Linked DNA regions of Elephas maximus indicus. The protein of the gene in region 2 interacts with the protein of the main gene of each other region in a pairwise test. Links are inferred from orthologs where the notes say so. Each region holds a gene or a part of one and is shown on either strand. Other genes may lie near its edges. The genes, in order: NIPSNAP1 and RGS2.

Evidence for each region.
Region 1: the proteins of RGS2 (region 2) and NIPSNAP1 interact in a two-hybrid assay, tested with the Homo sapiens proteins (2 studies listed by BioGRID and IntAct). The link is inferred for Elephas maximus indicus from reciprocal best matches to the Homo sapiens genes RGS2 and NIPSNAP1.

What each region holds. Positions count from the first base shown.
Region 1 is NC_064840.1:26,959,197-26,963,104, reverse strand, and holds the start of NIPSNAP1 (protein NipSnap homolog 1), read right to left. Parts: upstream 2,373-3,908; 5' UTR 2,348-2,372; coding exon 2,244-2,347; intron 1-2,243.
Region 2 is NC_064842.1:58,198,470-58,202,377, forward strand, and holds the start of RGS2 (regulator of G-protein signaling 2), read left to right. Parts: upstream 1-1,646; 5' UTR 1,647-1,689; coding exon 1,690-1,805; intron 1,806-2,846; coding exon 2,847-2,948; intron 2,949-3,050; coding exon 3,051-3,112; intron 3,113-3,663; coding exon 3,664-3,830; intron 3,831-3,908. UniProt on the Homo sapiens protein: Regulates G protein-coupled receptor signaling cascades. Inhibits signal transduction by increasing the GTPase activity of G protein alpha subunits, thereby driving them into their inactive GDP-bound form.

The DNA.
Region 1 (3,908 bases), on a different chromosome or scaffold from region 2:
AATGGGAGCGGGTTTTGCTGTGTGTATTTTCACCAAAAATAAATTTTGTCCCAGATGAGAACTTTTCCATCCTTCTTTGGGAGCAGTTACTATCGACGACATACCTGCATCGTCACAAGGATGTGACCCCTCCACACATCGATCTGCTCAGGAATGTTACAGATTTATATGCTGGGAAGCTTGCCTCAGTGCACATCCTGAAATGCTCTTCCGATTTGAGTCGGCTGACTTCAGAAAGGGGCCATGTTTCTCCTTATTGTTCAAGAGTGTGTTTTTAGCTAGAGAAACTCAAGTTCTGCTATCAACAGGATACCTGGTACAATGGTAAGGAGCAGTTGATTGCTGCTTACTGAGCACTTGCTATGTGCTACAAGCTAATCCTCACAATGTTTTTGAGACAAAGGAGGCTCAGAGATGTTCCACGCCTTATTCAAAGATGGCCAGTCCATGGCCAAGAGGCTTCCAAGCCAGGGTGGTCATTCCAAAGTCCATGTTCTGTCCCCACCCGAGCAGCCTTGTTGCCTCCAAACCTCAGAAGCCAGAAGGGCTGCTGCTGGCTCCCCTAGTGACTCCAGGGAGATGTGGGGCAGGCTGAGGGTCAGCAGGAGAGAATATTCCCAGGTATCCTATGTGGGACCAAGGTGTAAGTAAAAGCATGTAGGAAGCTGAGCAGCAGTCCTCAAGGGACTTGATAATTATTAACCCAGTAGATCACCAACCCACTTTACTGAGAAGGAGACCAAGTTTTCCAGAGGTCCAGTGATTCGTCCAGGGTTACAGAGTAAGTACGTGAGAAGCAGCGGCTACGGCTAAGTCCCATGCTCCTTTTGTGAATATTCTTTTGCGGATATTCGTCACACAGATGATTTTACCACCAACTGATTCTGTAACACTGGGAAGTGAAGTCCCTTTCCTGGGCCTTGATTTCTTCATCTGGAAACCAGGAGGCTCAGAAAAGATGATCTCCCCAAAGCCCTTTCAGCCTTGACCTTGTAAGGGGCTCAAGCAGAAATTCCTTGAGAGGCAGGCTAGGGCAAGCGGCAACATTTGTTTCATGTCCACCATGTGCTACATGCCTCACACAGATGGCCTCTTTAATCCTTAGCAACCCTATGAGACACACCTTATTTTATCACCCCCGTTTTACAGATGAGGAACCTGAGGCTTGAAAAGGTCAAATGACTTGCCCAAGGTCACTACAAAAGGCTGAGTGAGATTTGCTTGGTGGCAGGCAGACTCCAAGCTCTTTCCCTGATGCCAGCTTTCTCCTCAATTACTGGGCAGATGGATGGGGGCACATGGCAATCTCCTCTTCCCCAGCAGCCCAGCAGTCCCACTCTCCAGCCATCTAACATCTCATAGCAAGGCCTAAGAGAACTCTGCAGCTTCACTCCTGGGCTGGTGGACAGGAGGGGCCCCTGCTTCCTTTCCATAGGTAGAGAAATGGGCATTCTCACGTCTTTGGAAATGTTCTTTGAACATACACTGTCCTGAGCCCTGTGCTGGGGAAACAAAAATGAGCTGAAGGTCTAGTAGGGAGACAGGCAAGCCAAGAGCCATAAGTGCTCAGGGTGGTAAGTGCAGAGATGGAGGAAATGCAGAGCCCTGGAGACGAAGGAGGGAGGGGCCACCGTGGGACAAACAAAGGCCCAGGCCAAGTGAATGGCCAGCCAGCCTCCCTCTCCCAGGAAGCCACCCAGTTGTGGTGCAAAGAGCACAGGGTGTCAGAAGACCTGGATCCCAGACCCAGTGTTGCCATGGGAAAGCAAGTGGCATGAGCTTCGACAACTGCCATCCCCTCCTCCCCGCCGGTCTCAGTTGCCTCACCTGAACTGTTTGGGTGGGGGAGCAATGCCTGTGTAGCCATTGTTTTGGGGAATCCCCATTGCTTCCCCCGAGAACGGACCTTTCCCCATGGAGGAGCTCACCCTCCTAGAACCCCCAGTAGGGAGGAGGCTTCTCTTTCATCAGGTATTATTCCTTCTACCGGCAGCCCCCCGCCCCAGGACCCAGGGCCTGCCACCCCCATCTTCCATTCTCCGCCCAGACCCTAGTCCCCACTCGGACAAGGGCCATGCCCCTATCTTTCCCACCTTCCTCATTCTTTGCCCAGCCCTCGATCTTGCCCCCGCCCCTAGCCCCCAGGTTCCAAGCCGAGGAGTACCAGTCCCTCCCTGAGACCCAGACCCCTGTCCCGCCCTGCAAGCCCCGCGCGCGCCTCCCGCGCCCTGCCCGACTCTCACCGTGCCGCAGCCGCAGCCGCAGCCGCAGCATCCCCGGTACGGGGGCCCGGGCCACCCAGCAGCCGCCGCGCCGCCGCAGAGATGCTGCACAGCCGTGGAGCCATGTTGGAACGGCGCAGGTTGGAGGAAGGCCCCGCCCCCGAAGCCGGCGGCGGAGGCGGGACGTCGACAAGCCCCGCCCCCAGGAGCACCGACTCGCTCTGCAGGGGCAAGGTGGGCGTTCCTCCTCTGCGTACCCCAACTCCGCAGATGCTAAGCGGAAGTCGGGGTTCTAGTTCTCTGAGCCTCTGTGGCTTTGCCGCGGACTCGCTCTGTGAACTTGATTAAGCACTTTGTCCACTTGGAGCCTCAGTGTCCACCTCGGTAAAATGAGCACTTTGAATAATACCAGGAGTTCTTAATAGGGCGTTGGGGAATGAGCGGCAGAGGGTCAAAAGACCAAACCCGTTGCTGTCGGGTCCGTTCCGACCAATAGTGACCCTAGAGAACAGAATAGAAGTGCCCTATGGGGCAGTTAGAGGGCCAATCTGTAGCGACCCTCAGTAAGGCCCTTGAAATTGTATACAAGCGGTGTACACCTGAGTGGTTTTCTGGGTAGGGGTCCACAGGCAGCGTTTATCAAAGAAACAAATCCCCTAATAATCTAAGAAAGACTAGGCAAGGCTCTGGGCCGCACGGACCGTATCTTTCCACCATGCACTTTTCCTGTTACATTCCTCTCAGCCATTTGACCTGGGCCTCTTGGGGCCACATGCCCTCCACCTGCCCTGCCCTGCCCAACTCTTGCCTGTCGATAAAACCTACCTGTCTCAGCCCACAAGCCCCCAGACCACAGAGCTCTGCAGGGGCAGAGAGTCTGCAGGCCCCACATCTGGGGGCCCAGGCCCTCATCGCTTCCAGAGGGGCAGGTTGCATGCACAAGCCCCAAAATAATGCCCACCCGCTGACCGGGTGACAGGCTTGCATTCCCTGATTTGTTCAGCAGATACTGAGAGTCAGCCTGGCCAGATCCTGGGCTAGGCTGTGAGACACCAACTCAAACCCAAACCCGTTGCCATGGAGTCGATTCTGACTCCCAGACACCCTATAGGACAGAGTAGAACTGCCTCATGGGGTTTCCAAGGAGCAGCTGGTAGATTTGAACTGCTGACCTTTTGGTTAGCAGCTGGAGCTCTTAACCATTGTGCCGCCAGGGGGTCTATGAGACAGCAAAGTGGGGCAGAAAAAACTCCTGGCCTTCTTGGGGCTTCGGGCCTGGTGGGTGGACCAAAAAAACAAAGAAACCCCTTGCCCTGGAGTCAATTTCTGACTCATATCAACCCTACAGAGTCAAATCATTGCTGACTGTCAGCCCTCCAGAGCAGAGGCCTTAGCCTCTTGCGTGAGCCTGAGGAGTTATAACGGGGGTGGGGGTGGGGGAGGGGGTAAGTGGAGGGAGAGCCCTGTACAGATTGAGGAAATAATCTGTATGAAAATGTGAGCTTTTAACTATGAATTTTTTGTGTGTGTTTTCTAAAGTTGCTACCAAAAAAAAAAAATGTAGTGTTTGTGTGATTTATTTAAAAAGGAAACTGCAGATCATCATAATAGAAAAGCAATCAATTATCATAAACAGGTGATGCCAGTAAGATAACTGCAATGAGAGAACACAGTGTCACTGCTGCG
Region 2 (3,908 bases):
ATGATAAGTGAGAAAAAGCAGGTGTCCTGCATATTGTACATATTTAATAAATAAGTATTGACTCATCAGAAAGTGAAAAAAACATACAGCAAACACCATGCAGTTCCTGCACAGATGAAGACTATATGCTTGAGCGAAATTAGTCTTACATTTCACAAACATATTTTAAAGTCTTTTTTTTTTTTTTTTTACTGAAATCTAAATTACTTGTTTCCATAATAAAGTACATGACTGTTCTCTTCAGTAGTAATTGCAGATTTTCCTCTCCAAGTCAAAGCTGGAGCTCCAACTACTGGCAGCTCAGCATAAAAACATGGTAACTAGTCCCAGTGTTACAGGCCTGCGTCGGAATTGCTTCAACAGCAACGGGTTTGGTTTATTGGCTTTTTAATGGTTAGTGTAAAATAGGGAGAATATTTGCAACCCAATCAATATCTTGCTGTAAAGCTTACTGTCTAATTAGAGGTTTGATGGGGAAACCATTTGAATATTCCACTGTTAGGTTCTGGCAATGCTGTTCTCTAAAATCAAATCATTTTGTAGCTAAAGTAATGTTTGTCCTCACCCATCAAGTCACTTGAAAGCTTGCAGGAGGGGACAGATGATTTCTGGAAAATCAACAACTTATTTAAGCAAAGTGTTAACTTTTCTGCTACTTTTTGCCAGTTAAGTATTCTGGTAAACTCTAAACCAACTAAGGATGACTCACGAAGAAATCATCCATTCCCACGTTCTTAAACTAGAATGATTCCAGTACATTCCATCTGCTAAGTGTGGCGTTTTCCCTCTCCTTCCTCTCTCACGCACATACACAATGGCGAGATCTGTGATTTCTGTTGTGGATGGAGAAGAAGCCAGGAAATCCTGAGGACGGACCCTATAGGCCAAGCCACAAGTCTAGAGGTGAAGATCACAAAGTAAACCCAGTTAAAACGCTGTCTTCTGAAAGAGTCATTTTCTCCTGTTCCTCACCTGACGAATGTTCGTTCCCCTAAGTATTCCAAGATGCCCAAACCCCAGCCAGCACACCTGCCCCGGGGCTGTCACCGTTTCCTCCCCCGGCTGAAGCAGAATCGCAGGAGAGGACCGAGCGAGGGTCTCCGGGCGGCCCCGGTTTACTTTACAGACCAAGGGTCTCGGGCGAGTCGGTACAGCAGGACCAGGACTGTAAGCCAGAAACGAGGCGCGGGCAGGGGGATGGCCAATCCATGTTAACTGGAAATAAGGCGATTGCACTCGAGTTTGCAGCAAAGCACCTTTTCCTGATGGGGAAACATCGCCCCTCTCGGGGATCCAGGGGCACGTCAGGGTGGGTGCGGGGAGAAGGCGCGCCGCGCCGGGCCTGCGGCTAATTCGGCCCCCCGCCCTCGCCGGAGGCGGCAGAGCCCATCCGGCCGGCCCCGCGCCTGGGCACAGGTCGCCGGCAACGGCTCCCGGGAAAGGTCCGGGTCGCGTTGCGGCCCGAGCGCGCGCTCGGCCGGGCAACGCCAGCATCGGCTGCGCCCTGGCTCCCGAGACCCTTCGTGGGCGGCCGTGACCGCGCTCGCACCGCCCCCGGGCCCCGTACACGGCCAGTCCTCGCCCTCCGGGGCGGGGCTGGTGCGGGCGGCCCTCCCCATCGGGTCCTGGCCTCCTATAAAGGCCGCGGCGCCCCCGCCAGCCAGCAGCCGCTGCCGGTGTGGGGAGAGGATGATGCGAGGTTCCATGTTCCTGGCTGTCCAGCACGAGTACTGTGGTCCAGTGGACAAGAGCGCAGGCAGTGGCGCCAAGAGCGAGGAAAAGCGGGAGAAGATGAAGCTAACCCTGTGAGTACGGTCTTCTCCAGCCTCCCGCCCTTGCCCCTGCGGAGCTAGCTCCCCCGGTCTGCTGCAAACGCGGTGGGCTCGGTCTCGGCCTCGGCTGCAGGAAACTGGGTAGTTCGGGTCTCCACAGGCGGGAAAAGGGTGGAAAAGGTTAATCTGGCAAATTAAGGTTAAATATGTTTTTTGGTATTTTTTTGGCGGGGGTAGAGTTTTATTTTGTTACGTGACCGAAGGACGATCCGTTAGAGTTTAGGAACTGAGGAATATTCTACATGTGGTGTCTGGGGACGGCGGTAGATGCGCTAAGATATTGCGGGTTGACTTTTTGTTCCCCTGCATTTAAAATGCCATCAGAGAATCCTGCGGCTGAAGCATGTCCCCTGCAGTCGTGCGTTGCATTGAGTTCTGATCAGCTTACACAGCTGCAGGGCTGAAGCTGTGTGTGCTGGTTCTGAATAGAAATCCAGTCTTGTTTTTAGTAGAAGAGTAGATCTCACTCATTGAGACTGCGGAACAGATTATTGCTCTGCAGCATTTGCTCAAAATGAGCGTCGTCGTTGGGGGGTGGAGGGGCGTGGAGATAGTCACACGCACCTCACTGTGTGCAGCCTCTGGCGTTGTCCAGAGCCTCCTGCTTTCACGGTGAAACCCAGTGCCGTCGAGGAAAATGAACATCCCCAGCCGGAGGCGATTTCATCAAGCGTGAAACAACCGTAGTTGTAATTCGCCTTGTAGAGAAACCTGCTGCCTTTGGAACAACACAAATTTAATTCGTTTAAATACTTGAGTGGTTTTAGATAGTCTTGCCGATAGTTATAAAACTGCTAGTTACTCTCACGTAAATGAATGAAGCTAATTGTGTATTCAGTACATTACATTAAAAGGGTGAGACTTGTCTCACTTGGAGAGTTCCTGTTTGATTTTATTTGGTTTGTCTGTAGCTCCTGGGAGACTTTATTTGGAAAAAAAAAATGCATTCGGCTGCAGTAGCTGCATTTTCAAGCATTGCCACTTAGTAAATGGCCTTTTTTTTTTTTTTTTAAGGTTAAAAGATTGGAAGGCCCGTTTGAGCTACTTCTTACAAAATTCCTCCACTCCTGGGAAGCCCAAAACCAGCAAGAAAAGCAAACAGCAAACTTTTATCAAGTAAGTTGAAAACCCTGTACTTGGTAATAGGAGCTGCTAGCTGCTGGACCAAAAAGGGAAGTTCTGGTGCACATAAGCTAATCTACAGAACCTCTCTTGCAGGCCATCTCCTGAGGAAGCACAGCTGTGGTCAGAAGCGTTTGATGAGCTGCTAGCCAGTAAATGTAAGTTACACTCTTGAGTTTGATCCATTTCAGGTGGTTCAGGAGTTCACTAAGGTTAGGTCCACCCAACAGAAGAGCAGCTGGCCTGAGGGGAATGGGACTTAAATTATAGTCACTATAGCATAAGACCTATTTTTCTGTCCCTTATTTTCCAGTGTTTAACCATGGAAATGCATATATTATTCACTCCAGGTGGAGAAGAAAAATTAGCCTAAAAAAATTAAAGTGACAGTTGCTATTAGCAAAGATTAAGTCAGCTTTTCCATTGCAGTGTTTTCAAAAGGCTTAGTTCCCAGAGAATTTATGGCTTCCCTCTAAATACTTATTTTGTATTGACAGCAAAATTAAGTTTGCATATTTTTTTTTTTTTTACCAGTGTGCCAATTTAAGCAGCTTGCCTACTGGCATCTTAGCTTTTAAATTTTAAAGAGGGAAATTCTGAGGATTGTAGGTACGAGTGAAATCTAGAAAATTACCATCATTTAGAAATAATTACAGTGCGGGTACGCACTAGGAAAAATATCACATCTGCATGCCCTTTTTTCTTTCAGATGGTCTTGCTGCATTCAGGGCTTTTTTAAAATCTGAATTCTGTGAAGAAAATATTGAATTCTGGCTGGCCTGTGAAGATTTCAAAAAAACCAAGTCACCCCAAAAGCTGTCCTCAAAAGCAAGGAAAATATATACTGACTTCATAGAAAAGGAAGCTCCAAAAGAGGTAAAGAAAAAAAAAAAATTCATCTCAGTACATTTTTGAACATCCTTAGCACCAAAGTGAAATAAGAGTTGAAGAGAC